Xenopus tropicalis: one gene and its partners. The protein of the gene in region 1 purifies or fractionates together with the protein of each later gene. This does not show direct contact. Links are inferred from orthologs where the notes say so. Each region holds a gene or a part of one and is shown in the gene's direction. Other genes may lie near its edges. The genes, in order: keap1, niban2, tsc22d4, slk, ikbkb, pgam5 and gabpa.

Evidence for each region.
Region 2: the proteins of keap1 (region 1) and niban2 purify together in Homo sapiens (affinity purification with mass spectrometry; 3 studies listed by BioGRID and IntAct, with this or other methods). This does not show direct contact. The link is inferred for Xenopus tropicalis from reciprocal best matches to the Homo sapiens genes KEAP1 and NIBAN2.
Region 3: the proteins of keap1 (region 1) and tsc22d4 purify together in Homo sapiens (affinity purification with mass spectrometry; 4 studies listed by BioGRID and IntAct, counting the BioPlex papers as one, with this or other methods). This does not show direct contact. The link is inferred for Xenopus tropicalis from reciprocal best matches to the Homo sapiens genes KEAP1 and TSC22D4.
Region 4: the proteins of keap1 (region 1) and slk purify together in Homo sapiens (affinity purification with western blotting; 3 studies listed by BioGRID and IntAct, with this or other methods). This does not show direct contact. The link is inferred for Xenopus tropicalis from reciprocal best matches to the Homo sapiens genes KEAP1 and SLK.
Region 5: the proteins of keap1 (region 1) and ikbkb purify together in Homo sapiens (affinity purification with western blotting; 7 studies listed by BioGRID and IntAct, with this or other methods). This does not show direct contact. The link is inferred for Xenopus tropicalis from reciprocal best matches to the Homo sapiens genes KEAP1 and IKBKB.
Region 6: the proteins of keap1 (region 1) and pgam5 purify together in Homo sapiens (affinity purification with western blotting; 6 studies listed by BioGRID and IntAct, with this or other methods). This does not show direct contact. The link is inferred for Xenopus tropicalis from reciprocal best matches to the Homo sapiens genes KEAP1 and PGAM5.
Region 7: the proteins of keap1 (region 1) and gabpa purify together in Homo sapiens (affinity purification with western blotting; 3 studies listed by BioGRID). This does not show direct contact. The link is inferred for Xenopus tropicalis from reciprocal best matches to the Homo sapiens genes KEAP1 and GABPA.

What each region holds. Positions count from the first base shown.
Region 1 is NC_030679.2:138,050,960-138,054,779, reverse strand, and holds part of keap1 (kelch-like ECH-associated protein 1), read left to right. Parts: intron 1-1,723; 5' UTR 1,724-2,108; coding exon 2,109-2,651; intron 2,652-3,820. UniProt on the Homo sapiens protein: Substrate-specific adapter of a BCR (BTB-CUL3-RBX1) E3 ubiquitin ligase complex that regulates the response to oxidative stress by targeting NFE2L2/NRF2 for ubiquitination.
Region 2 is NC_030684.2:31,996,178-32,000,760, forward strand, and holds the start of niban2 (niban apoptosis regulator 2), read left to right. Parts: upstream 1-1,556; coding exon 1,557-1,597; intron 1,598-4,583. UniProt on the Homo sapiens protein: May play a role in apoptosis suppression. May promote melanoma cell invasion in vitro.
Region 3 is NC_030679.2:151,477,164-151,481,548, forward strand, and holds the start of tsc22d4 (TSC22 domain family protein 4), read left to right. Parts: upstream 1-1,356; 5' UTR 1,357-1,450; intron 1,451-1,475; exon of another isoform or gene 1,476-1,712; intron 1,713-1,879; exon of another isoform or gene 1,880-1,987; intron 1,988-2,070; exon of another isoform or gene 2,071-2,317; intron 2,318-4,385.
Region 4 is NC_030683.2:27,933,329-27,937,148, reverse strand, and holds part of slk (STE20-like serine/threonine-protein kinase), read left to right. Parts: intron 1-2,800; coding exon 2,801-2,882; intron 2,883-3,017; coding exon 3,018-3,149; intron 3,150-3,540; coding exon 3,541-3,820. UniProt on the Homo sapiens protein: Mediates apoptosis and actin stress fiber dissolution.
Region 5 is NC_030679.2:130,604,694-130,608,513, forward strand, and holds part of ikbkb (inhibitor of nuclear factor kappa-B kinase subunit beta), read left to right. Parts: intron 1-413; coding exon 414-608; intron 609-1,105; coding exon 1,106-1,220; intron 1,221-1,397; coding exon 1,398-1,521; intron 1,522-1,630; coding exon 1,631-1,782; intron 1,783-2,457; coding exon 2,458-2,519; intron 2,520-3,087; coding exon 3,088-3,197; intron 3,198-3,329; coding exon 3,330-3,379; intron 3,380-3,710; coding exon 3,711-3,810; intron 3,811-3,820.
Region 6 is NC_030677.2:155,456,995-155,461,414, forward strand, and holds the start of pgam5 (serine/threonine-protein phosphatase PGAM5, mitochondrial), read left to right. Parts: upstream 1-1,434; 5' UTR 1,435-1,595; coding exon 1,596-1,756; intron 1,757-4,420. UniProt on the Homo sapiens protein: Mitochondrial serine/threonine phosphatase that dephosphorylates various substrates and thus plays a role in different biological processes including cellular senescence or mitophagy. Modulates cellular senescence by regulating mitochondrial dynamics.
Region 7 is NC_030678.2:18,565,915-18,569,734, reverse strand, and holds part of gabpa (GA-binding protein alpha chain), read left to right. Parts: intron 1-1,280; coding exon 1,281-1,475; intron 1,476-1,827; coding exon 1,828-1,884; intron 1,885-2,051; coding exon 2,052-2,192; intron 2,193-2,548; coding exon 2,549-2,741; intron 2,742-2,953; coding exon 2,954-3,179; 3' UTR 3,180-3,820.

The sequences.
Region 1 (3,820 bases):
CACCCCCCCCAAAAAAAAATACTTTTTACCTTATAAAACAAATATGAGCAACTTTCCAATATGATTTTATTAAAAAGAGTTTAGTGCCTTAAAAGTTATTTGCAAACGTAATTGCCGTGGAAAGCCGCATTTGCTGTTGGTTATGATTTTTAAACAATGTTGCAAAAGGCAGTCTCTTCCAGAATAGACAGGTCTGCCGGCTGGCTTTGTGCTACATTGTTTCAGAAGTCAGAACCAGCAGGGCAGACAATGGCCAATTCTCAGCAACTTTTCGACCGGTCTTCATTTTTTTATCTTTTAAAGTTTTTGAATTATTTGCATTCATTTACTGCCTTTGCTCGGCTTTCAACGGGGGTCACTGACCCCGGCAGCCAAAAGACTATTACTCTGCGAGGCTACAGTTTTATTGTTGTTACTTTTATTTAACTTATTGTTATTTTTACTTATTTGTTCTGTTCAGCTCCACTACTCTTCATATAGTGGTCGCTCTCTCAAACCTCTCCCTGGTTACTAAGGTGAAATGGACTCTAGCAACCAGATTGCAGCTGAAATGTGAAACTGGAGAGCTTTGGAACAAAAAGTTAAGTAACAAACAATAAAAAATGAAGACCAATTGGAAATTGTCTCGGAATATCACTCTCGACATCATACTAAACCTTTGAGGTAGTTTTTTAGTATGATGTAGAGAGTGATATTTCGAGACAATTTCCAATTGGTCTTCATTTTTTATTATTTAACTTTTTGTTTCAAAGCTCTCCAGTTTCACGTTTCAGCAGCTATCTGGTTGCTAGAGTCCATTTCACCTTAGTAACCAGGGAGAAGATTGAGAGAGTGACCAATATACGAATAGTAGTGAAGCTGAACAGAAACATAAGTTATTTAACTTTTTGTTCAGCAGTTCTCTAGTTTATAGTTTTAGCAGCTATCTGGTTGCTAGGGTGCCAATTTCCTTAGCAACCAGGGATTGGTTTGAATGAGAGACTGATACATGAGTAGGAGAAGGCCTGAATAGAAAAAAAAGTTATCAAAAGTAACAATAACAATAACATTTTAGCCTCACAGAGCAATAGTTTTTGGCTGCCGGGGTCTCTAGTCTCACATTTCAGCAGCTATCTGGTTGCTAGAGTCCATTTCACCTTAGTAACCAGGGAGAGGTTTGAGAGAGTGACCAATATATGAATAGTAGTGAAGCTGAACAGAAAAATAAGTTTTTTAACTTTTTGTCCAGCAGCTCTCTAGTTTATAGTTTTAGCAGCTATTTGGTTGCTAGGGTCCAAATTACCTTAGCAACCAGGGAGTGGTTTGAATTAGAGACTGATACATGAGTAGGAGAGGGCCTGAAAAGAAAAAAAAGTTATCAAAAGTAACAATAACAGTAAAATTGTAGCCTCACAGAGCAATAGTTTTTGGCTGCCGGAGTCAGTGACCCCCATTTGAAAGTTGGAAAGAAGACAGAAGAAGAAGGCAAATAATGCAAAAACTATATAGGCAGTTTATCTTTGGTGCGACTAGCATGGGAACTGCTGCTGCTGAACGTAGGAGCATAAAGGGTGCTCTATTAACCCAAAATGGCTGCATTAATGCAATATTTACACGCCGCGCAGTGTGCCAGGTAAACATGGGATGTGTGTAAAGCAGTCATAACTCTATGGCGTCACTCGTTCTGGCACATTCCCGGCTAATCACAAGCAGCTTTCAACTTCTCTTCCTTCTTCCTCTCCAGGTATCAAACAGAAAATGAACTAGAAGGGCTCCTATTTGATCCCACCGACTCACCGTAGCCCGGGTTTGCTCCAGCAACATGCTCAACCCCTAGGCAGAGACTTTTATTTTTCATTTGCTAACCCCCCCCGTTAACCAAACGACCGGGATGGATTAAATCACTCCTGACTAGAGAATCTGGACAAACTGATATGGATTAAGTATCCGTAATATTTTTTTTTTTTCTGCGTGAAATAATTTATTGGTCTTTTTGACACATTTTTTTTGCACAGTTAATTTATTTTTTTAAAATATTTTTTTTAAAGAAAAATGGCAATAGGTTTGTTTTGAAGAAATCTTTTTGCCCCCTAATGATGCCCCGTTAGGCGTTTCCGACGGCAGCAGGAATGTACGCGACAGAGTGCCAGGCGGAAGTGACGCCCTCGCACAGCAATGGCAACCGGCAGTTTCAGTATAGCCTGGCCGACCACACCAACCAGGCCTTCCAGATTATGAACGAGCTCCGGCTGGGGCAGCAACTGTGCGACGTCAAGCTGAAGGTCAAGTACAACGACGTCCAGGATGAGTTTGTGGCCCACAAGATTGTGCTGGCGTCCAGCAGCCCCGTGTTCCGCGCCATGTTTACCAATGGCCTCCGGGAGTGCGGCATGGAGACCGTTACCATAGAGGGGGTTCACCCTAAAGTCATGCAGCGGCTTTTGGAGTTTGCCTACACAGCTAGCATTTCCGTGGGAGAGAAGTGCGTCATCCACGTCATGAACGGCGCCGTCATGTACCAGATGGACAGCGTGGTCAAGGCCTGCTGCGACTTTCTCATCCAGCAGCTTGACCCGAGTAACGCCATCGGCATAGCCACCTTTGCGGAGCAGATCGGATGCCACGAGTTGCACCAGAAGGCGCGGGAATATATATACATGCAATTCGGGGAGGTGAGTCAAATAACTGTATCAGGGCTTTAAAGGGGAGGTACACCTTTAAGTTAACTTTTAGTATGTAAGCAACTTTTCAATTGGTCTTCATTATTTATTTTTTTTGTGCCCTGTTTACCTGGCACGTGGCGTGTAAATATTGCATTAATGCTGCCATTTTGGCTTGATAGAACACCCTTTAGGCTCCTAAGTTCAGCAGCAGCAGTTCCGATGCTAGTCGCACCAAAGATGAGCTGCCTGTATCGTTTTTGAATTATTTGTCTTATTCCTCTGTCTCTTTCCAAAAAAAAAAAGGGGGCTCACTGACCCCGGCAGCCCAAAAACATTGCTCTGTGAAGCTACAGTTTTATTGTTATTACTTTTTATAGCTTATTGTTCAATTCAGGCTGTCCCCTATTCATATATCAGTGTCTTATTGAAACCACTCCTTGGTTGCTAAGGTAATTTGGACCCTAGCAACCGAATAGCTGCTGAAACTATAAACTAGAGAGCTGCTGAACAAAAAGTTAACAAGTAATAAAAAAATGAAGACCAATTGCAAATTGTCTCAGAGTAAAAGTTAACTCAAAGGTGAGCAGCCCCTTTAACATTTGGCAGATCCACGTAGCGCTGTGGTTTCCGTTCTGTGCTTTCCCCAATGCTTATTCATGGTGTTGTGCAAGGCGCTGAGCTGTTTGACCTTGAGACGCGAATGATAGGACTGAGGTCTGAGAACATAGCGTGTTAATCATCTTCCACAGAGACGAAAAACAAAATGTTAGTGGGTACAGGTGGGGCAAGTGGGTCTCACTGTTTTTGTAGCAATGAATGCTGAGAATTGGGGTGCTCTTGGGTGCAATGGAGTGCTGTGTGAAGTAAAAAAAAAGTTTGTCTGGGACACCCTAGAATCTTGTCAGGCAAGTACTGTGGCTGTGGGATAGCAGGTATAGTAGGGAGAGATGGTGCCTATAGTAGCAGTGGGGGGATAATAGCCTCTGGGAAGGGACTGGGGCTGTGGGATAGCAGGTATAGTAGGGAGAGATGGTGCCTATAGTAGCAGTGGGGGGATAATAGCCTCTGGGAAGGGACTGGGGCTGTGGGATAGCAGGTATAGTAGGGAGAGATGGTGCCTATAGTAGCAGTGGGGGGATAATAGCCTCTGGGAAGGGACTGGGGCTGTGGGATAGCAG
Region 2 (4,583 bases), on another chromosome or scaffold:
AAATAGGAGAATAAATAACTTTTTTTCCCCAAATCTCACCCTAGCTGGGCTTTAGACTAAGAGCCCCCATCACTGCTTCAAGCCCTCCATGATGATGCACAATAGGCCCTGGCATTTTAAGTACACAGAGGCTCAAACAGGCCCCAACCAGCTCACTAAATAGTGACTGGCAGTGGAATCTCCCCTTTGGCATTTGCCAGAATCCACAGATTGCCAGCCCAGGCCTACAGGGGGCCACCCCCACAGTTTTGCAACCAGCGCCAGATTTCTTATCCCCCCAAGGCCGCCCCAATTCGTCACCCCCCGCATTCGCGAACACCCCTCCAAACCTCCCTGAAGCAAGGTCCCCATTGCTCCGTATTATTATTATTATTTATATAGCGCCATCAATTTACGCAGTGCTTTACAGAATAGAGGGGTACAAAAGACATAACAGTTAACATGTACATATAAACAAAAATGGTTTGCAGTTACATTGGATGAGGATCGGAGACACTAGGGGGAGGGCCCTGCTCACAAGAGCTTACATTCTAAAAGGGAGGGCTGAGACATAAGGTCAGGGTAACTAGCATGGTGTTAGAGTTCATGTAGGTGTGTAAAGTGAGAGTAAGTGCGGAGTGAGAGGTAAAAAACAGTGGTTAGTGAATGTTTGGGGGAGTAAAATGTCAAACTTTCGGTGCGGCGGGGCAGCATGCCACCCCTAAATTTGTGCCGCCGTAGGCCTGGGCCTTTGTGGCCTTGCCACAAATCTGGGCCTGTTTGCAACCATTGCTAATGACGATTCTATGACAATGGAAATTTTAGAAGCAGGTTTTGGGGAAGGTTTTGGGGAAGTGACATCATGTGCACACTGCACATGACATCACTTTAACGACATTGGTGCATGTAACGTCATATGCATGAGGTAGAGGTGTGTATAAGCTCAGTGCCTAGGGCAGCACCGGACCTAAATACACCCCTGACTATGGATCTTATAAATATATTAATAATAATATATTAAAAAACATAAATTGAATTATTGTAAATAAGGCAACACATGGTAGCCATGGAAACTGGCTGTATTTAAAGGTAATAGGTTTGATATGTCTTATAATCGCAGTGATTCTCATTCAAAAAACAGGCCTTTAATTGCAATAGGAAGTGATGCACATAATTTAGCATTTTCCTGCTAAGCAATACACCCCTCAATTATGAGACAGAGAGACATAACAATGGTTAGAATGGCACATTCACAATTACGTTTGTTGTACAATTATTATGGCTTATTTAAAAAAGCTGCTTATTATATGATGACAATGTTACTTAAATTCAGAAATATAATAGGATAATGTAATACAATGAAGGACTGGGTGATTTGAAGCTGTATATACACAGACAATTAGATCCAAATGATGGGAAATATTCCAATCACTGCCAAATGAAATGATAGCTTATATAGAAATTCATTCCTTGGCAATGCCGACACTGAACTGACTTTGAAAAAACTAACAGCTTTTAGTTTTAACTATGTCATATGTCACTTCTAGGTCTGAACATGGAATCTGAAGTGCCTCCCTATGGGGAGCGTTAATATGCATGGAATGACAGATATTCTTGGGTGAGTATCAGTCAAGTCAGTCTTCATTCGGTCACATCATTCATTTTCTCTGACTCATCTGTTTTTCAAGCAACTTGTGCTTACTGAAAGGGGAGATGTCAGTGAGAAGGACTGTAGGGCACGGTAGGAGTAACTTGACTTAGGGCTGGGCGATATACCGCTTAACACCGAATACCGGTGTTTTTTTTTTTAAACTATATTCATTTTTCACCCCGCAATACCGGGGTGTCAGGGTACTCACCCGTGCGGCCCGGTCTTGCGCGCCTCCTTGCGTGCGCACGTACATGTCAAAGCGTGCACGTCCGCGATGCGCTGACGGCGCCGGTTCTGCGCATGCGTGGAGGGTATTTAAAGCTATCAAACGCCTCCTCCTGTGCTATGTTGTCTGCGGCCTTGCCTGGGAAACTAAGCCTGCCTGATTTACCTTACGACTTTCTCTTGCCGATCCTTCGCTTGCCTGATTTTTCAATACTGCAGTAATTATTCTCTAATTTATTAGGAAATGGGGTTAACACCTAATCATGCATGGAAAAAAAAAACACCGTCAAATACAGTGACACCGATATAATTTTGAAAAATACCGTGATATAAATTTTTGGTCATACCGCCCAGCTCTAACTTGACTGACACACTTCTGCTTTTGATTCCCAGGCTCATCCTTTAAAAACGATAGTGGATACTTCTAGGCCCAGATTTGTGGAGAGGCCACAAAGGGCCGTGCCTAGGGCGGCAGAAGTTTAGGGGTGGCATGCCGCCCCGCCGAAACAAAATGTTTAAATTTGACTCGTTGGGAGCTCTCCCCACTGCTCCGTATGGAAGCATGCACACTCGCGGCTGGCGCGCGCGCGGGGGGGGGTGTCGCGCGTTCACGCATGCGCATGACTGGAGGGGGGGGGGCGACCAACAGGGGTGGCCTCCGGGCCTAAGGCTTTAGGTCAAGAATCAGCCCCTACATTGGTATCAGGAGACTGAAGGCCCTTAGGCTAATGCCACATGGATAAACACAGGCCAAAAATCAGCCCTACAATAGCATCAGTCTTCCCCTATGCCTGTACCCTGAGTCACACTAAACTTTGTTGTTTAATCAACAAACATCATCATCCCATATTTAAAACAGATGGGCCTAGGGCTGCCACCTCCAGTTTTTTAAGGGACTGTTCAGGACAAAACCCAGTTTTCAACATTCTGGGAATAACACAGTAATGCCACCCCTGATGTCATTGCATGGCATGCAACCCGGGGTTTAAAACCTGGAAAAGGTGGCAACTCTAGATGGGTCCCTTAGGTAAAGGATACATAAAGACTTTTTCTTCACTAAAACAGGTATTAAAATGCTGGCCATACATGGGCTGATAAAGGCTGCCAACTTGGCCATGTAAAAGGCCCTTAGTAGGTCCTGTGACAGATATTGATCTGGCAGGTTTCAAAAATCCTGTTGATCAAGGACTGCACCAGCGCAGTGAAAGGACCCATCACAAAGAATCAAGACAGATGGCTGTTTTCAATTCTTTCAGGAGTCACGCAATTGGCTAGAATAATGCTCTATAAGAAAAACAAACAAGGCTATACACAATGAGCAAAGTTTAAAAACAAGAACATGTTATCATATCAGCAAAGCTCTTTATATTGTTCTTTTTTTCCTCCAGTGAAAAGTGTTTTTCTTTTTCCTGCTTAGAAGTAACAGTAGGATGTTGTGGGAGCAGTCTGACTGGGCACGTGTCTCATTTCACTGCTGGTTTCCTACAACCAATTTGAAACTAACAGGCTTATAGTTTTCAGGCTGAGAATGGGATGCCTTTTTGAATAGAGGCACCACTGAATCAATTTGCCCTTGGCACCATACCAAACCTCAAATAATTCTGAAAAATTAAGTAAAGAGGATAGGTGGAGACATTACTAGAGGGGGGCACATTTAGCGCTAGGCCAAACCCTTAAAGAGATACTGACACCAGAAATTAAACCTTTTTTTACATCTATCATAACATAGTCTTTGCATGACCTTCATTTTTGCTATAAAAGTATTTGCCCAATGCTTTTATATTACCTGTCTGATCCCCCATGTTCCCCTATAAGGGGGCTGCCATATTTGTCCAGCAGGAGGCCGTTAGCATTAGAAACTATAACTGACAGGCTGGGAAGGGACAGTCAGGTTGGTTTACTTCAAGTAACAATTATTTACAAAAGCAAATCTCTCAGCGAAAATCAATCAACATGACCTATAGGCAACTTTTTATGTACATTCATATTTTGAGGAGTCGTTTTTTAGTGTCAGTATCACTTTAATGTGCCCATGGCAAGACCCAGAGCAACACAACCCCCCCACTTGTCACCCACCCTCCTATTTACAGACTACCCACACTATATAACAAGCAGGGCTTGCCAGCTAAAAGAAGAGGAGCAGGAGCTAACGACAAGGCAGAAAGGCTGGAACTTGGGGTTGGCAGGCAGAAAAGGTACATGACTGGTGCCACCCACTGTTGCACTCTACGCATGTACCTCTTCTTCCTAATTCTAGTTCCAACACTATCACAATCTCCTATACTCAATGCCTGATATAGGTTGGTGGTAAACAGAGTCGGACTGGGACCCCAGGGGCCCACCAGAAAACCTTAGACCCTAGGCACACTCTCCAAACTATTTTTCCTCCTTTCCTCAACCAACATCTTTATCCTCTTAGTCTCTTTTATTTACATGCTAAATCTATTTTTCCATCTATTTCTCCTCTTTGTTTTCATTCAGAAATAGGGAATAACCATTAAGCAGGCCAAATGGTTAGGAGCAGGAGGGTCCACTGACACCTGGGCCCACTGGGAGTTCTCCTGGTAGGCCAGTCAAACACTGGTGTTAAATACAGAGACCCACTGCATCTTACACCAATTGGCATTGCCTATCTTTCACTGAACAATGAACAATTAAGAAGATGCCCACGTTCTGCCCCCCAGCTCACACAATGTGACTACAGCACTACTAGATGCATGCAGTATTT
Region 3 (4,385 bases), about 13 Mb from region 1:
GGGGGGGGGGGATACACAGAGTAGGGGTATAGGTAAGTACAATAGGCTGGGGAGGGGATACACAGAGTAGGGTATAGGGTAAGTACAATAGGCTGGGGGGGGATACACAGAGTAGGGGGTATAGGGTAAGTACAATAGGCTGGGGGGGTATACACACAGGAGTAGGATAGTAGGGGTATAGGGTAAGTACAATAGGCTGGGGGGGGGGATACACAGAGTACGGGTATAGGGTAAGTACAATAGGGGGGGGGGGATACACAGAGTAGGGAGTATAGGGTAAGTACAATAGGCTGGGGGAGGGATACACAGAGTAGGGGTATAGGGTAAGTACAATAGGCTGGGGAGGGGATACACAGAGTAGGGGAGTATAGGGTAAGTACAATAGGCTGGGAGGGGATACACAGAGTAGGGGAGTATAGGGTAAGTACAATAGGCTGGGGAGGGGATACACAGAGTAGGGGAGTATAGGGTAAGTACAATAGGCTGGGGGGGGATACACAGAGTAGGGGTATAGGGTAAGTACAATAGGCTGGGGAGGGGATACACAGAGTAGGGGAGTATAGGGTAAGTACAATAGGCTGGGGAGGGGATACACAGAGTAGGGGAGTATAGGGTAAGTACAATAGGCTGGGGAGGGGATACACAGAGTAGGGGAGTATAGGGTAAGTACAATAGGCTGGGGAGGGGATACACAGAGTAGGGGAGTATAGGGTAAGTACAATAGGCTGGGGAGGGGATACACAGAGTAGGGGAGTATAGGGTAAGTACAATAGGCTGGGGAGGGGATACACAGAGTAGGGGAGTATAGGGTAAGTACAATAGGCTGGGGAGGGGATACACAGAGTAGGGGAGTATAGGGTAAGTACAATAGGCTGGGGGGGGGATACACAGAGTAGGGGAGTATAGGGTAAGTACAATAGGCTGGGGAGGGATACACAGAGTAGGGGAGTATAGGGTAAGTACAATAGGCTGGGGAGGGGATACACAGAGTAGGGGAGTATAGGGTAAGTACAATAGGCTGGGGAGGGGATACACAGAGTAGGGGTATAGGGTAAGTACAATAGGCTGGGGGGGGGGGGATACACAGAGTAGGGGGTATAGGGTAAGTACAATAGGGGTGCAGAGAAGGTTGGGGGTGAAACTTGTACTGGGGCTGAGGGAAGTGTGAATGGGAGAGTGAGGGGAGGAGGAGGGCAGAGAGGCAGAAGGAGGAGGGCAGAGAGGCAGAAGGAGGAGGGCAGAGAGGCAGAAGGAGGAGGGCAGAGAGGCAGAAGGAGGAGGGCAGAGAGGCAGAAGGAGGAGGGCAGAGAGGCAGAAGGAGGAGGGCAGAGAGGCAGAAGGAGGAGGGCAGAGAGGCAGAAGGAGGAGGGCAGAGAGGCAGAAGGAGGCAGTGAGAGGCGACAGATACAAGAGGTTGGACTTCCTGACACAGGAGATGTCAACAGGCTGAGTAAGGAGGGAGGGAAGGAGGGAGAGACTGCGAGAGAGAGAGGGAGAGAGAGGGAGAGAGAGGGAGAGACTGCGAGAGAGAGAGGGAGAGAGAGGGAGAGACTGTTTCAGGCCACAGAACATGAACTGAGAGACTCACAAACCTGCAGCTGCATGGAGAGAAAGTTTCCTGGAGTCGTGTGAGGCATGGAGCATCCCTGAGTGTGAGAGCCATCTCCCCTGAGAGTGAGTGGGGGAGCCAGGAGGAGTCACACAGAGGGAAGGTAAGAGTGAGAGTGAGTGGGGGAGCCAGGAGGAGTCACACAGAGGGAAGGTAAGAGTGAGTGTGAGAGTGAGTGGGGGAGCCAGGGGGAGTCACACAGAGGGAAGGTAAGAGTGAGTGTGAGAGTGAGTGGGGGGAGCCAGGGGGAGTCACACAGAGGGAAGGTAAGAGTGAGTGTGAGAGTGAGTGGGGGAGCCAGGAGGGGTCACACAGAGGGAAGGTAAGAGTGAGTGTGAGAGTGAGTGGGGGAGCCAGGAGGAGTCACACAGAGGGAAGGTAAGAGTGAGAGTGAGTGGGGGAGCCAGGAGGAGTCACACAGAGGGAAGCTAAGAGTGAGTGTGAGAGTGAGTGGGGGAGCCAGGGGGAGTCACACAGAGGGAAGGTAAGAGTGAGTGTGAGAGTGAGTGGGGGAGCCAGGGGGAGTCACACAGAGGGAAGGTAAGAGTGAGTGTGAGAGTGAGTGGGGGAGCCAGGAGGGGTCACACAGAGGGAAGGTAAGAGTGAGTGTGAGAGTGAGTGGGGGAGCCAGGAGGGGTCACACAGAGGGAAGGTAAGAGTGAGTGTGAGAGTGAGTGGGGGAGCCAGGGGGAGTCACACAGAGGGAAGGTAAGAGTGAGTGTGAGAGTGAGTGGGGGAGTAAGGAGAGACTTGTACCTTACCTGAGAGACAGAGGAGTAAGAGAGAGTCGAGTGAGAAAGTGAGTGCAAGAGATGGAGCTTTACTTAGAGTGGGGCTGATTGGATTGGAACTGAGTCGGGGGCTGAGGCTGATGGGAAATATTCTTGTACTGGGGCATTTGGGATATATACAGTGTATGTGCTGGTACCTATGAGAGACCCCCCCATCATCCTGTCTGTGGGGGCCCCCTGCTCCCGTCTGACTAACTCCTACCCATAATCCACCCAAACCCCACAAACTCAGTGCTGGAATTGGGGTGAAAAAACAGAGGGATGCTGTGGAAAAATAGGCCCCACCCACTGCTGTAATAAGCCACACCCACCCATTACATTACATTACAGGGGGGGTTGTTTTGCCCTGATGTAGGAAGTGAAATTCTAAGACCATCTGCAATTGGTTTTCTTTTTTGTGGTTTTTGAGTTATTTCGCTGTTTTATTCAGCCGCTACCTGGTTGCTAGGGTCCAAATTACCCTAGCAGCCAGGCCTTGGTTTGAATGAGAGGCTGGAATTGGAATAGCGGAGGGCTTGGATACAAAGATGAACATTTGTTTTTGAGATGTCGGGGGTCAGCGACCCTCATGTAACTGCCGGACGGATTCAGAACGAGGCAAACCATTCAAAAACTATAAAGCAGAAAAAATAAAGCCCAACTGAAAAGTTGCTTAGAATTAGCTTCCAGCACATCTCACCTTTCCCCAGTTTCCCAAAGGCCCACAGGCCGCTAATAATGTGCGTTATTGGGCCCACTGGTGCCACGGTCACATGCTGTAATGTCTGCAACCTGATTGGCTGAATACTGAGCATTTCTATAAAAACGTATAACTTCCCATTGGCTAGGCGGGGGCTTACAGGGTTACCCCCACGACCCATTAGGCAAACCGCCCCTAGTTGACTGGGTGCCCCCTGCATACTCTGTGCCAAAGGTACCGTGGGGCCACCAGGAGCCGCACAAATATAACCCCCTGCTGCGCACAGTAAAGGAGAATATGAGTGCCAGGGAGCCTGAGAGCAGTGATTGGCTGTGCCAATTCCCCGGCCTTGAATTGTTTTTCAGCTTTTATCCTTTCATGTGATACCATAACACAGGCTATAACTCCCTGCACTGACTCCCCACGCTCTATTGGCCACCCTGTCACTGCCGGCCTTACAGTGCATCATGGGATGTAGTTCTTCTGTATATCCCTTAACCCACAGCAGCTCTTCCTCCCTCTTCTACCAATCACTGCTGCCTCAGTGTGAATATACAATCCTTTATGTTTATACCATATCCCTGCAGCCCCTCAGTGACTGCTAATATCCTTATCATTTACAGTAGGGGGTACAGTATCCCTTATAATACATGAGTGATACTCAGAGTTCCCTGTATAACTCAGCCTGCAGCCTTGTGCCTTTATATGGGGGGCACAGAACCCCTCAGTGACTGCTAATATCCTTATCATTTACAGTAGGGGGTACATTATCCCTATAATTACATGAGTGATACTCAGAGTTTCCCTGTATATACTCAGCCTTGCAGCCTTGTGCCTTTATATGGGGGGCACAGACCCCTCAGTGACTGCTAATATCCTTATCATTTACAGTAGGGGGTACATTATCCCTTATAATACATGAGTGATACTCAGAGTTCCCTGTATAACTCAGCCTGCAGCCTTGTGCCTTTATATGGGGGGCACAGAACCCCTCAGTGACTGCTAAATATCCTTATCATTTACAGTAGGGGGGTACATTATCCCTTATAATACATGAGTGATACTCAGAGTTCCCTGATAACTCAGCCTGCAGCCTTGTGCCTTTATATGGGGGGCACAGAACCCCTCAGTGACTGCTAATATCCTTATCATTTACAGTAGGGGGTACATTATCCCTTATAATACATGAGTGATACTCAGAGTTCCCTGTATAACTCAGCCTGCAGCCTTGTGCCTTTATATGGGGGGCACAGAACCCCTCAGTGACTGCTAATATCCTTATCATTTACAGTAGGGGGTACATTAT
Region 4 (3,820 bases), on another chromosome or scaffold:
TCTATAAAATTTCACTGTATTCATGAGTATACACTTTAGCAAAAGAGGAGGAAGCCCTTCAACTAGTTACTGCATTAAGGCTGTTTGTATGATGTCTTCTAACAGGTCACATAAAATAAGGTGGATACAGTTGTGCATAGGTACGAAATTTCACCAGCGAAGCTACCCATAACAACCAATTAGCAGTAAGATTTGACCACTTTGCTACCAGTTGCAAAATGATAGCAAAAATCTCATAAGCAAGTGCACTTGTTGCGTTTTGCAAGGACTACATGACAGGCGCATACGCAGTAAAGTGAAAAGGCGACTTCTCTGTTAAAGTTTGGCTTTTTCACTCTACTGCGCATGCGCGCGCTAGCAAAGCCGGAAGGAGGAAGCGCTGCAACTTCCCCGAGTGACTTTGCCTTTCCTTCTCCTTTAAATAAAATAAGGATAGTTTCCTATCTGGAAGAGTATTACACTGTGTATGCAATGAAAGAGAAATATGGAATCATGTCAGTTTTATGTTTTTGATGATGAGAGGCGCAGAAGTATCTCGAAATACCTGTAGCCCACTTTTGTGACAGTGCTAATACTTGTGGCACTAACAGGAGTCCTGAGCCCCCGCTTATTATGGGGGTAACAGGGAGTCTTCACTCTTAATGGCGTGCCTCCACCCAGGGGTTATGTTGTGGGACTGTAACTCCCACCCTGGGACCTGATCTGATACTGTAGGCTTGCCAGGGACGCCACACAACTCCTGGCACCTTGCCCCTCCCTGGGGTAGTTGCTTACCGGCGGGTAGGTGATCCCTGGTGCAGGAATGAGCCAGATACACAAGAAGCGATGTACCAGATGAATGTCTTTATTTGGGCAGAACCTCTCCAGGAGTGGCATACATTCGTCAGGGCATATACTCCTTATCTTCACCTTAAGAGAACCTACCTCCTGTTGGGTAATCTACGGTACTCCCGCCAAATGATCCCTTTTAGGTGCTCCCCCCGGTACTCACGCCGAGAGACCCTCTCTTAGGGCTCTCCCCGGTACTCTCGCCAGGCTGACCCACCTCCAGAACTCACCCCGGTACTCACGCCTAGGTACCCTCAAAGTAGGACTCCTTCTAGCGGCGGCTTGATACACCTACCTGGACACTTTGGGCCCTGCTCTCCAGCAAATGTATTGCTGGGGGGTCTTAACCCCACTACCACTCCTGGAGGGGCAATGTCCGCCCATTCTAACTTCCACGCCTACATGTCACTCCTGGAGCGACCTATCACCAGAACTGACTATCTAATAACTGAGCCTGTTGTACTCCTCTACCCAGAGGCAGTCCCAGGCCTAAGACCCCACAGCACATGGCTGCATCCCTTTTTATAACCTTACACACCACCCTGTGGCTGTAACCAGAACTACAGGGATACTCCCTGTTAACTACTAATATCCCAAACCATTCCAAGTGTCCCAATTACCATCACCACCCCTAGGGGTGTTCATCCTACAGGGCCCATTTTTGTCAAACCCCTACATACCCTTCAGTGGTTTTTACTTTTGCAGATATTTCAGATAAAGGTTAAATCATCATCAGTTGAACGGTTTGTACCGTATATACTCGAGTATAAGCCGAGTTTTTCAGCACGAAAAATGTGCTTAAAAACTCAGGCTCGGCTTATACTCGAGTGAATATACATATATAATATATATCATTTGTCGCGCTCGCCGCACCCCCGTGTGCTTGGCCGTTCGCTCGGCTGTGTACATGCGGGGGGCTGGGGCCAGCGTGTTCCAGTTAGTCTACCTGCCAATTAGACTGGTCACTACTGTGTGTGCGTACATTCGGGGGGCGGTGGCCAGCGTGTTCCGGTTAGTCTACCTGCCGATTAGACTCTTCGCTACTGTGTGCGATCAGCTGCCATCGCTCATAGGTACATCCAGGCAGAAGGCCGCTTACATGCGGGGGTCGGGGGCCAGCGTGTTCCAGTTAGTCTACCTGCTGATTAGACTGTTCGCTACTGTGTGTGCGTACATTCAGGGGGCGGTGGCCAGCGTGTTCCGGTTAGTCTACCTGCCGATTAGACTGTTCGCTACTGTGGCGCTCAGCTGCCATCGATCATAGGTACATCCAGGTACCAATATAATAGGAACCAGTATAACATTAAATACAATGTGCGAATGAGTGATTGCACAAAAGCTAATCTTTCTTATTGTTCACGCGGGGGTGGGCCTGTGCCGGGTAGCCTATAGATTAGACTGGTGTGTTAAGTTACTGTGGCGTTTAGCTGCCATCAATCAGAGGTACATCCAGGTACCAATATAATATGAACCTGTATAACATAAATACACACAGTGATGTGTGAATGAGTGATCTGCCCAGCATTGCACAAAAGCTAATCTTTCTTATTGCAGAAAGATTTATCTGCCCCTGTATAGCACCCTGCCTTTGGTCAGATGGGAGTGAGTAAAATTATTTTAGGCTCCATCCACCTTTCCCTAATCACCTTTCCCTAATCTGCAGCTGCCAACATAATATATTTATTATTATTCACAGGGGGTAACGCTGAGTGTCCTTTATTAATTATTTGATTATTGAAACTTAGCAGTAGCTGCTGCATTTCCCCTCGGCTTATACTCGAGTCAATAAGTTTTTCCAGTTTTCTTAGGTAAAATTAGGTACTTCGGCTTATATTCGGATCGGCTTATACTCGAGTATATACGGTATATATGGAACTCCTTCAGTAAACTAAGACATCCCAAAGTATTTAATATAAATGCTTTTAGCAGAATATGTAGTGGCTAAACTTATATCTCCTATTTCTAACTCTAGGTCACCAGAATTCAATGATTACCTGAAGAAATGTTTAGAGAAGAATGTGGATGCAAGGTGGACTACCACTCAGTTACTACAGGTAATGAGAGAAGCATACATACATTGAGTATTCATAACATATATTATGATGTAGAACTTTCTGATCTTTGAAATTTCAGATTGACTAATATTGTGCTTCTGTGTATTGTGCTGCTTATCATCTTGACATTTTTAGCACCCGTTTGTCTCTGTGGTAAATTCCAACAAGCCACTTCGAGAACTAATAGCAGAGGCCAAAGCTGAAGTGTTGGAGGAAGTAGAAGATGCTAAAGAGGATGAGGAGGAAGATGAAGGAGAAAGTTCTTTGGTAAGTATGGTATTAAAATTTAAGTTCTTTAGTTTATTCTGTCTTTTTAGAACGTGATCACATATTTTACCTCTCAAAGTGGTCATTTGGAATTGTTTTAATGTCTCCAAGATGGAGATTGGCCCGTTCCTTGATCAACTTTTTATTAACTTCAATTGTCTGGTGTGAGCTTTCAGCATTAGAACCATAGAAGCCAGGCAGATTGTTCCAATGTGCTATATAGCTGCAAAAATGCTTTGTTGGTGCCAGTTGTGGACCTGGAATTCCTAAATATAGATTGTGGCTACTAGATCATATTTTAATAAGCAAAACTGCATAATTATTTCAGAGGTAAACTTCCTAATGTTTTTATTATTATTAACAATATTATATATTTTTATTGTCCTGTTAGCCTGTTCCAGATAAAAGAGCTTCATCAGACCTAAGCATTGCTAGCTTAGAAGACGATAAACTCTCTCAGAATACCTCAACGTTAGAGCCTGTTTCTGAGCAAGTTGTGCCTACTGTAGTTGAAAATCAAGTCATAGATCAAGAAAGTGAAGCAAAAGTAAAGAAGGAAGAAGGAGATAAAAAAATCATTGTGGATCAGGTCGGCAAAGATGCTTCAGCGGATCAGGTCGGCAAAGATGCTTCAGCGGATCAGGTCAGCAAAGATGCTTCAGCGGATCAGG
Region 5 (3,820 bases), about 7.4 Mb from region 1:
TAACAATAATTCAACATTCATAAGATATGTACACAATATCAAAACAAAAATCAAACCTATACGTACCACCCAGCAATAAACAGCAAAAAAGGTGAAGGCAGATACTCTGGATGAGAGAACTGCCCCAAAGTTTCAAGAAAAGCACCAGAACCAACAGGATAGACCTGCATATATGTTTATACAACACCCTCTCTTAAGATATAAGGACCACAGACCATGTAAGGTGGTTTCTAATGTTCCTAAATGTTGAAGCAGGGGATTGCTTATTTTTTAATACACGTTTCAATGGGCTATGGGTGATTTATATATGATAACCTCACTAAGCACTACTTATAAGGATATATATCACAGGTTTTTATAAACATATATGTTATTGCTGATATATTGATGTACATGTGTATATATCCCCCCAGCTGTTGTCTGTACTGAACATGGTGTCTGGCAAGGTGCACACTTACCCGGTGTCAGAGAATGAAAACCTGCAGAATCTGAAGAGTCGCCTGGAGCAAGACACAGGGATTCCTGAGGAAGAGCAGGAACTATTGCAGGCATCAGGATTGGCCCTTAATCCTGCCCAGCCTCTAACCCAGTTTGTGGTAGACTGCACGGTAAGAGTCTTCTCATGCTCACCGCAAAATGACATTATGAAAGCACAAATATGGCAAAAAAAATGTTTTGTGTCATGTGACACAAGGCTAGTGTGGTTCAACTTAAAATGCAACTTTAAATTATATTTCTGTAAGCAGCCTTTCTTTGCAGGTCACAGTATCTGGTGGAACTGTTAATGAAAGGAAAACCATTGTCTTTTTGACTTCAGAGAGTGACCATATAGGCATATGTTTCACTGCTTAATTACAGCTCTTAAGTGCAATATACAGATTCAAATATTCATATTACTTTCAGTACAGCAAGTGTAGTAAAACCCTCAACTGTTCTAGTTCATTCCACCTGCAGTTGTTCTTGCATTCTAGATCTGACCTTGCCATATAAGATGCTGGCTGCTGGTGGGAGTTGTAACTGCTTGAGGGTCATAGGCCAATATCTTTGTTGTCTATAAACTGGAATTATTTTAATCAATAAGTGTCTTATTTGCTTTTGTCTACAGGTCAATGATGGGCGCCAGGGCGAGGGTGATCTGATATTTCTATTTGATAACCGGAAGACTGTATATGAGCCCCAGATATCACTGCCGGCACATCCCGAGAGTGTCACCGTTATATGTGAGTGCCACTGATATTTGGCTTGTAATGGCAAGGGATATACATGTATATGTATATTCCTCTTGCCTGAGGACTCAGACGTTTGCCTATGCCTTCAGGGTTTATACATCTGTCTAATCCTGAGGTTTGTGGTTTGTTGATGGTGATGTGACACTGTGGCACTTAATTCTATTCCAGTGCAGGATCCCAAGCGGCCCCTCACTTACACCCACCTTCGCCGCGTGTGGGGGCAGACCTGGCAGACAATACGAGCGATGAAAGAGGATTGTGCCCGTCTGCTTCATGGGCAGCGTACCTTTATGTGAGTATGAGAGCTCTGCGTGTGGGTGGGACAGACAGTATGTGTGGCAGATGTGTGTTTCTCCATGTATTATGCATAAGTGCTGAGGGCATATCTCTATGTTATGTAGGGTAAACCTGCTGCGATACAATACTGAACTTTCCAAAAAGAAGAACCTCATGACTTCTGAGTTTGAGCAGCTAAAGGCCAAACTGGATTTCTTCCGGAACAGTATCCAGATTGATCTAGAAAAATACAGTGAACAGATGGAGTTTGGAATCAGTAAGTTACTGGCTGGGCCCTCTGTCGACTTTTATTGCTTAGTAAAGAGAACTATAGTGATTTATTGACTTTGCTGTAACCTCTGACACACTGTTATTATGCACAGCTTTTTTTTTTTTTCTTTAGACAACCACTAAACAGCATTCATAGTCATCATAAATGGCTTTCTGTATTAACAGCAAGCAGTATGGGAGCTTCCAGTCTTCTGTATAAATACAGTTTTACACAGAGGAATGATCTGTGCATATCAAACTATGGCCTCTTAGTTTACAGCATTAAGATAAAATTAAAGCTCTGCTTAGGATACGGAAGGTACCCGTTCTGTTATATGCAGATTTAAAGGAGAACTAAACCCTAAAAATGAATATGTCTAGAAATGCCAGTTTTTATATATTGAACTTGTGAAATGTGAACAGGGCAAAATCTGCACCATGCAGTGTTACTATTGTGAAATAGCATATTCATAAAAGAGCAAATTTCTCTTTATTACTGTTGCTTTTAGCCATACAGTCTGCAGGATGAGACTTAGTAGGCCAGGGTCTAGCCCTTGTATTTTGAGCCTTTATATGGGTTCCTACTTCACACACATCACCTTATCATCAATGATATCTATTAAAGGAGCCGTTCACCTTTACATTACCTGTTAATGATATGAACAATGTTTCTTTCTCGCAGCTTCTGAAAAGCTCCTGTCAGCCTGGAGAGAGACGGAGCAAACAGTGGAACTGTGCGGCAGGGTAAGGAATGAGATGAAATGGGATAATGATACTCGAAAGCCCACTCCATAAATTAAACGTGCTATGTGAATATATGTACCCTAGGGTCTCGGGCTCCATTACTTAAAGGGGCACCGTGGGCAAAACCAGTGCACTGCTTTTTTCCCCCATAGCAACCATTTGCGGTTTGGGCTTGTGTATTGTAATTACAAATTTGGTCTAATTACAAATGCACCCAAATATCCGCAGTCTGCATTGTTTAAATGTATCCAGGTTGTTTGGTTATGGGCTGCTCTTTTCCCAAAATGCAGTATATCCCATTGCATTGATCTTTATGGGGTAAAGGAGGGCTTTAGCTTTGGAACCTAAAGAGAGTTCTTATTGAGCTTCCTGGAGATCAGTGTAGTAGTAAACCCCAGTCAGCTCTTAATGTCAGACCCCAACTTTTACCCCCTGCCAGATCATAAGGCAAGAGAGAAGCCCAGAAATCAATTGCTCATTGCTGCGAAACAAGGTTACCTACCTTTTCAACCACTGTGTGTTGGATTTTCCTTTGTTTTAAGTTCTTTACATTTTTGTTCTTTTGTAGGAGAGGGAAGTGCAGGCTCTTGTGGATAAAATGATGGCTTTACAAACAGACAGTGTAGATCTGCAGAGAAATCCATTAGGCAGGAAACACCGAGGGACACTGGATGACCTGTGAGTGAGGTGGAAACTGTTCAGCCATTGTACTTTCATGTCATCATATGAAGTGTTCTGTAAATTGTGTTGGGGGTTGGCTGTTCTCTATGACGGTCTAAATAAAACATTGTTTTCTACTTTTATTGCCAGAGAAGAACAGGCTAAAGATTTATATCGGCGGTTACGGGAGAGACCTAGAGGTAAGCAGTTATTGTTGCAAATATGGGTAAATAATCCCCTTACTAGTTGTATTTGGCTCTAGGGCCAAAGAGTCTGTATTACTAAATATGACGGGAATACGATGGGCTAGATAACCCTTCTTGCGGTTTAGCACCAGAAACCTGACTCTGTTAATTTATCATGGTATTTAGGCTACCTGCTAGTTACTCAGGAAGTGTAGTTTCAACATGCTCAACTCCATGTGACATGTAGTAAGGATATTGGACTTACCGAGAAGATCTGACTTGCTCTAAACGTAAACGTAAATTTATTTCTAGGAACCCAGCACCAATGTATTTTTTTTACCTGTAGATCAAAGGACAGCAGGAGACAGCAATGAAATGGTGCGCCTCCTAATTCAAGCCATCCAGAGCTTCGAGAAGAGAGTCATCCTTATATATGACCAACTCAGGTCTGTGGCA
Region 6 (4,420 bases), on another chromosome or scaffold:
CTGTGTGTGCCATACTCTGCCTTCCCTATGCTGCCTCTATGTGCCATACTTTGCCTGCCCTACCCTGCCTGTGTGTGTCATACTCTGCCTGCCCTACCCTGCCTGTGTGTGCCATACTCTCCCTGCCCTATGCTGGCTGTATGTGCCATACTCTGCCTACAGTACCTATGTCTGAGGTGTGAAGAAGTGAACAATGGGAGTGATTACAGTCTGAGCCTGAGGTGTGAACACTGCAGGGGGTGAACAAAGGTGTGAAAAACACAGGGGATTACATATTTATACAATACAGGAGGATTACAGCCTGAATCTGAGGTGAGAACCATGCAGGGGGTCAATTAATCTCAGTACTGATACCATTTAATGCTTACTCAAAGGTAAGCCATCAAAGCAGCCAGACAGGTGGGGGGCCACACAGAGGGGGGTCTTAAAAAAATGGCAATTTAAGCTGGTAAAAGGTATGGAAAATCTCAATTATGAAGAAAGACTGGCCAAGTTGGGGTTATTTGTGCTGGAGAAGAGATGCTTAAAGGAGGATATGATACCTATGTATAAATATATAAGGGGATCATATCATAATCTCTCTAATGCTTTATTTACCAGTAGGTCCTTCCAGCAGACATGAAGGCACCCATTCAAATTAGAAGAAGGAGGTTCAATCTTAGTATTTGGAAAGGGTTTTTTACAATGAGAATAAGTCCCTGAATCAGTTGTACTGGCAGATACATTAGATGGCTTCAAGAAGGGGCTTTTTACTTTAATTGAGGAAATACTTGTACTCTTAGATCAAATTGATCCAGGAACTAGCCCAATCGCCACCTTGAAGTCAGAAAGAAATTTTATCCCCCTCTGAGGCAAATTTGAGAGGCTTCAAAGGGTTTTTTGTTTTTTTTTTGCCTTACTCTAGATCAGGGATCCCCAACCTTTTTTTACTGGTGAGCCACACAAACATTAAAAAAAAAGTTCTTTGGGGATGCCAATTAAGGACTGTGATTGGCTATTTGGCAGCCCCATGCGGACTACTAGCCTGGGGGAGGCTCTGCTTGGAGTACAAAACTTGCCTCCTAGTTATGGAAGCAGGGCGCCTACTTTGAGGCCACTGGGAGCAACATGTAGGCAGGTTTCATACAGGCATAAAAGGTTGAAATCAGTGGACATGTAGCTTATTGTCAGCCTAAGTTACTATATTATGTTACATTCAAAAAAAATTTTTGCATGAATTAAAATTCTAAGCTACAATCCAATATACATTCATTGCCTAGTTAATTTTGTTTTAATGTTTTTTTTATTATACTTGTTTAAGTGATAAACAAATGCTGCTTTTTATTGCAATAACATTTACTAATAACTTTAAAGCCACTGTCATGTTTCGTAATAATATTGGAAAGTGGTGGCTCTGAATTAAAAAGAAAATAACATGCAAGGGTGAACAGCAGCTGTCCAAAGCCCAGAGAAACCGAAATTAGGACTGAATGTTATGACTGGAGGCTGAGAAACCACGTGACATGGTGTAGTGGAAACTCCAACTCCCAGCTTGCTTTTCGGCTTAGCTTGCGCTTGGTCCGCCAGAACGTGTGTGAGATATCCATACGCCGCGAATGTATCTCCGCAAGGCTCTCATAGCCGGTGGCTCTGCGGCTGCAGCGGCGGCAGCTATTCTGGGCGCAGCAGCGGTAGGCAAAAGCAAAGGAGGACCCGACTTGGATATTCTATCCGTGGTGCCAGCGGCAACTGGGCAGTGGGACCGAAACTGGGACCGGTGAGGCACTATGTGCGCATGCGCAAACTTATGCCGTCATTGGCAGCAAGGGGTGTGATTGAGAGGATGTTTGTGGGGGCATAGTGTACTCTGGGCAAGTCTGGACCCTGTTAAATATTGGGAAAGTAAAGAGACTGCAGCCTTCATTGTTAGTGAGGGGTCATGCAACCCCCCAAGTATAGAAACAAGAGTATAGAAACAGGAACGTCTCCGACACATAAAGGTGTTTCTATGGGTTCAAAGCAAAAGGCAATAAACACCTTTGTAGTACACTCTCCTGCTTCAGCCCGTGTTCCATTTTTTTTGTTTTAATTTAAAAAAAAAAAAAAAAACGGAGTATTTTGTATTTGTTTGCACTATACAGGGACGTTTAAGCCATGTTTTGTTCTTGTGAGGTGGATATTGGAAAACCAGTGCGCAGATATGCAGGAGGCTGTTATTCTCCCAAGGCTCAAAAGCATGGAGTACTTTCAGTTTCCCTTTTTAGCTCAACAAAGAACAAGAACCATAGGTTTTGCTAAATAAAAAATAGGCAAAATGTATGTTCAGTACAAGCCCTATTCATTTTATTGAAATATGATATGCTATTACTAGTGAAAAACATAAAACTATATATATATATATATATATTATTGTGGCTGGCCCTTTAATTGTCTGTTACACACTTAAAGGAGAAGGAAAGGCTAAGTCACTTGGGGGTGCCAAAATGTTAGGCACCCCCAAGTGACTTAAATCGCTTACCTTGTACCCTGGGCTGGTGCCCCTGTTAGGAGAAAACAGCACCAGCCCGGGGTAGCAGCGAGCGCTTCCTTCTTCCGTCTTCGTTAAGCTGTGACTGTGAGTCAGGCGCATGCGCAGTAGAGTGAAAAGCCGACTTCTCTGTTAAAGTTCCACTATTCAGTCTACTGCGCATGCGCGCGAGTGATACAGGAAGGAGGAAGCGCTCGCTGCTACCCCGGGCTGGTGCTGTTCTCTCCCAACAGGGGCACCAGCCGGGGTACAAGGTAAGCGATTTAAGTCACTTGGGGGTGCCTAACATTTTGGCACCCCCAAGTGACTTTGCCTTTCCATGCCCTTTAAGCATTTCCTTAATGCCAGTTACTTGATAGTTGGATTTATTATTATTTTCCCAAGGTAACACCTTCCTGGCAATAGATGGCAGCTAGGATTGTGAAAACTAATATATATACAGCAGGGAAAATAACAATTGAACACGTCAACGGTTTTCTCAGCAAGAAATTAACACCAGATGTCGGTGACAACCCACGTTATCCACACATACAAAGAAATCAAAACAAATCATTTCATAAATTGTGTAAATGTTCAGTACTTATTCCCTGTGTCATTCCACTTTATTACACACATTCACATATATAATACATTGTAGAAAAGCCTTTCTTGGTAATGCCAGCTTCAAGGAGCCTCCTGTATGGAGAAACTAGTCTGATTTTGGCCCATTTTTCCACACAAACTGTCTCCAAATCTTGAAGGTTTCATGGGCCTCTTCTATGAACTCTGGTCTTCAGTTCTATTCATAGATTTTTAATTGGATTCAAGTTGGGTGATTGACTGGGTCATTCTAGCAGCTTTATTTTCTTTCAATAATTACTGAGAAAACATTGATGTGTTCAATACTTATTTTCCCCTCTGTGTGTATGTATATATATATATATATAAATAGAAGAAACCGGCACTCACGTGTAGTTATCTTGCCTGGGTGCAGTCCCAAAAAATCAAAAAGTTTTTACAATCCCGGGGTCAGGAACCGCTCACACAGGACTTAAGGTTCATTTTTTAAGTGCTTTATTGAAAACAGACGACAACTGACGTTTCGGCTGCAACACCAGCCTTTGTCAAAGTTACACACTAAGACTTACACGGGCCTTATAAATTGTGTTTGGTGGGAAAACCCACAGACAATAGCGTGAAAGTGTAACACTCAATCACAATAAACGTGATGACATCAAACCCCCACCCATTAGTGTACATCTCCATATGAAACAACAGGACAAATCCAGAAGTAGGAAATAAAATGCAAAATAAAAGTAAAGAATAAATTGGAATAAACCACAAAAGCTAGCGAAAATAACTACGCGAAATAGAAACATTCATGCATCTAAATACACAGTAAAGATATAAGATAGCAAACATATGGAGATGTACACTAATGGGTTTGATGTCATCACGTTTATTGTGATTGAGTGTTACACTTTCACTCTATTGTCTGTGGGTTTTCCCGCCAAACACAATTTATAAGGCCCGTGTAAGTCTTAGGGGCCCATTTACTTACTCACGGCCGAATGCGTTTTTTTCGCAATGATCGGTATTTGGCGATTTTTTTGGAAAATTATCGCGACTTTTTCGTTGCCATCCGAATGTTGCGTAAAATCTGGCGATTTTTTCGTAGCGTTAAAACTTGCGCGAAAAGTCGCGCCTTTTTCGTAGCCATTCCGAAAGTTGCGCAAAATGTTGCGATTTTTTTCGTAGCGTTCGGATTAATTCAAGCTTCAGTATGGTGACTTTCCTTGGGCCAGGTTGGAGCTGCAGGGTGCCATTGAGTCCTATGGGAGGCTTCCAAAATCATGCTAAGTCTGAAAGTTTCGGCCGCCGCTTACGAGCGCTCAATACGAAAAAGTCGCGACAAGATACGAGCGAATCGTAATG
Region 7 (3,820 bases), on another chromosome or scaffold:
AAACATTTGCAATAGCTTAAAGTAATTTAATTAAACCTAACAATTCAGGAAAATGAGTTTACAAGGGATGTTAAAGTATATTTGTAGTATTTTATGTTCTGAATGACTGTTTTTACAATGTAAGATTACATGGTTTAGCTTTATTATAGATTAGCAAAAGTAATATGTGTATAGATGAGCAAACAATAACAAATATATTTCTGCAGATCGTGTTTTATTTTTGTGTCCTACACTTAGAGCTGGGCGGTATGACCAAAAATTTATATCACGGTATTTTTCAAAATTATATCGGTGTGACGGTATTTGACGGTATTTTTTTTTTTTCCATGCATGATTAGGTGTTAACCCCATTTCCTAATAAATTAGAGAATAATTACTGCAGTATTGAAAATCAGAGTCAGGCAAGCGAAGGATCGGCAACAGAAAGTCGTAAGGTAAATCAGGCAGGCTTAGTTTCCCAGGCAAGGCCGCAGACAACATAGCACAGGAGGAGGCGTTTGATAGCTTTAAATACCCCCCACGCATGTGCAGAACCGGCGCCGTCAGCGCATTACGGACGTGCACGCTTTGACATGTACGTGCGCTTTGACGCACGCGAGACCGGCCCGCACGGGTGAGTACCCTGACACCCCGGTATTGCGGTATCTGAAAAATGAATATAGTAATATAGTTTTTAAAAAAAACACCGGTATTCGGTATTAAACGGTATATCGCCCAGCCCTACCTACACTAGAGACTGGACTTAACATTTAGGGAAATGCCTGACAGCACAAGTACTGGCACAGTCAGGCAATTTCAATGGGAAATAGCAAGTAGCCATGTCAATAAACTCATCCAGTCTACAGTTTTGGGCTGATAGCATATAGAGAACTTTTTAGCCAGTGCATGGCAACTTGCTATCAACCCAAAGCTGTAGACTGGATGAGTTTATTGCCATGGCTATTTCCCACTGAAACGGCATTAGCCTTAAGAAGGGAGAGGCTTAAAATGCTTCCAAGGCTTTTTAAATTCTCTCCTTTGCTCTGTTTTTGCATTGAATAACAGCAGCTGCATAAAAACAAGATGATATTTAGTTAAATCTTACAAATATCCCTATTCACACTACAGAAGCAAATTCATATTCAACCTGCATAGTTATGTGAAGACATGTAGATAGGATCAGATGGATTTAGCTTGCTGCTAAACTGCTGTGCCTAAATTTCCTGTAAATAATTATTCATCAGTACTCAAATCAGAAATGTGATGTTTTATTGTCTTTCTTTTTTTCCCATTATTTTCAGATCCACTTCAGTGGTCTGTTGATCAGGTTCTTCATTGGGTGCTTTGGGTAATGAAAGAATTCTGTTTGACTGAAATAAATGTGAACTCCCTCGGTATAACAGGAAGAGAACTCTGCAACCTTAACCAAGAAGATTTCTTCCAAAGAGTCCCCAGAGGAGAAATTTTGTGGAGTCATTTGGAGCTTCTTAGGAAATGTAAGAAGTTCCCCAATATCTGCTCCATTGTTGATCAAATTTGTGGGATGCACACTACTGGGAAAATCTTACGTTTTCTTGCACACATATTTTTAAAATATCTGTACCTTTTCTGCAAGGTTGATCTTCAAAGCCACAGTGAACAAGTTATATAAGGTGCTCCTCATATTGGGTGTGATGTCAAATTAAATTAGGGCATTTTATTTGACAACTGGGTGCCATCAGGTAGAATATATACTGGTTACTGCCAAGTTACTACTAAATGCCTTGCTGGCTTTTGTTACCAGTAATGACTGAATGTCTGTTTAATCTAGTAATGGGAGGCTAAACAGCTTTTTCCATGTGTTTTCAGATGTTTTGGCAAGCCAGGAACATGGAGGTGAAATTGCGACCGTTACCATTGATCAGCGTAAGACAACGTCTTTGCATTTTTACTAGCAGTTGAACTCTTACATAACCTAATTTCCTGATAGTACTTACTGTGTGCAACTGTTGTTGTAATGTAGAAATTTTTGGCTTATATTTAAAAGGGAAACTGTTAATGAAAACTTATTTATTATTTAATTGCTTTTGTAGCTGTACAAATTATACCAGCATCAATCCAACCAACAGCACAAACAACCATTAAAGTAATAAACAGTCAAACCAAAGTAGCAAAAATACAAAGGACGCCGCGCATTTCTGGGGAAGACAGAAGTTCACCGGGAAACAGAACGGGTAATTCAGCATGCACTTTTTTTTCTTTTTTGGACTGATGACCAATTATACAGTTTATAGGTTAATAAATCATTAACACATACCCCATATGTAATTAAAAAAGCACTAAGTGTGCCCATAAGCAATACCCATAGCTACCAATACGATGTTTGCTTTTGTTTAGGTGACCAGTAAATGCTACCAGCTGATTGGTAGCTATGGGATACTGCACCTGGGCAGATATGGGATACTGCACCTTAGTGCCTCTTACTACATAACCCCAAAGACTGCTATGTTGTAAACATGGTCCTTCAGAAAAATGAACATGTCACCATTTTCAATATGTATTTTATTTAATTTTTTTTTTTTTTTTACAGGAAACAATGGTCAGATTCAACTATGGCAGTTTCTTTTAGAATTGCTCACTGACAAAGATGCTAGAGACTGTATTTCATGGGTTGGTGACGAAGGAGAATTCAAACTGAACCAGCCAGAACTGGTGGCACAAAAATGGGGACAGCGAAAAAACAAACCCACCATGAATTATGAGAAACTTAGCCGTGCTTTACGGTAGGTTCCAAATCTTGTAGCTTGCTGTAACAAAAGGCAAGAATTTGAAACCAAACCCAATATGAAGTAAAATAACCTTCCTGTGGAATAGTAATTTTTAGTTATTCTGTATCCTGTATTTTGATTGAAGAGTTTAAAAGTTAAATTGTTAATGTTCATGTTTGTATCATTAGGGAAATATTGATGACTAGCTATTTGTTCTTTCCTTGTAGGTATTACTATGATGGCGACATGATCTGTAAAGTTCAAGGCAAGAGGTTTGTTTATAAGTTTGTTTGTGATCTGAAGACCCTCATTGGCTACAGTGCAGCAGAACTGAGTCGGTTGGTGGCAGAATGTGAACAAAAGAAAATGGCAAAGATGCAATTACATGGCATTGGGCAGCCTATGACTGCGGTGGCACTAGCTACTGCTTCACTTCAGACAGAAAAAGAATAATTTGGCTCTGCAGAAACTCAAACTGATACTTTCCATCTGTACATTGCAGGATCCTCATTTATGGGATTCTGATGCATTTTTACTTTCAGACCTCACAGTATAAGGCATGATTTTGTTTTTTTCGACAGAGGACTTGGAATTCAGTACACTTGGATCTTGTAATTCTTCGGGTAACACGTTTGTTTACAGTGGCCCCTCATTCAAGAAGCATGGCATATTTTCCACATGAACTTAATGAACTCGGCTCTTTGTAGTGAGGTTAAGCCTTCTGTTCTTTTCCACCATAAAAATCATTTCCATCTTCATTAAGAAAGCCTTTCCTGATCCTAAAGGGTCCCATGGGGTTTATTTTGTGCTTTATTAATTAGCATACTGCAGAATACGGATTCCCCATTTGGCAAATATCTATGTTTTAAATACGGAAGTGTTTCTTTAAGTACATATGTCAGATATGCGGCAAGCTATGGCTGTCTCTCTGACTAACATTGTGTCCATCAGTCGAACCAGTGACCGACATTGTGAGCTAGAATTGAATGCACACCCCTAGTACAGCAGAGCACACCTTTACTTGGCCTCAGGTCAGAGGCTACTATCTGTCTGAGCAGTTGTCTGCTGGTCACGTGACAGACTTTAGAAAGGCA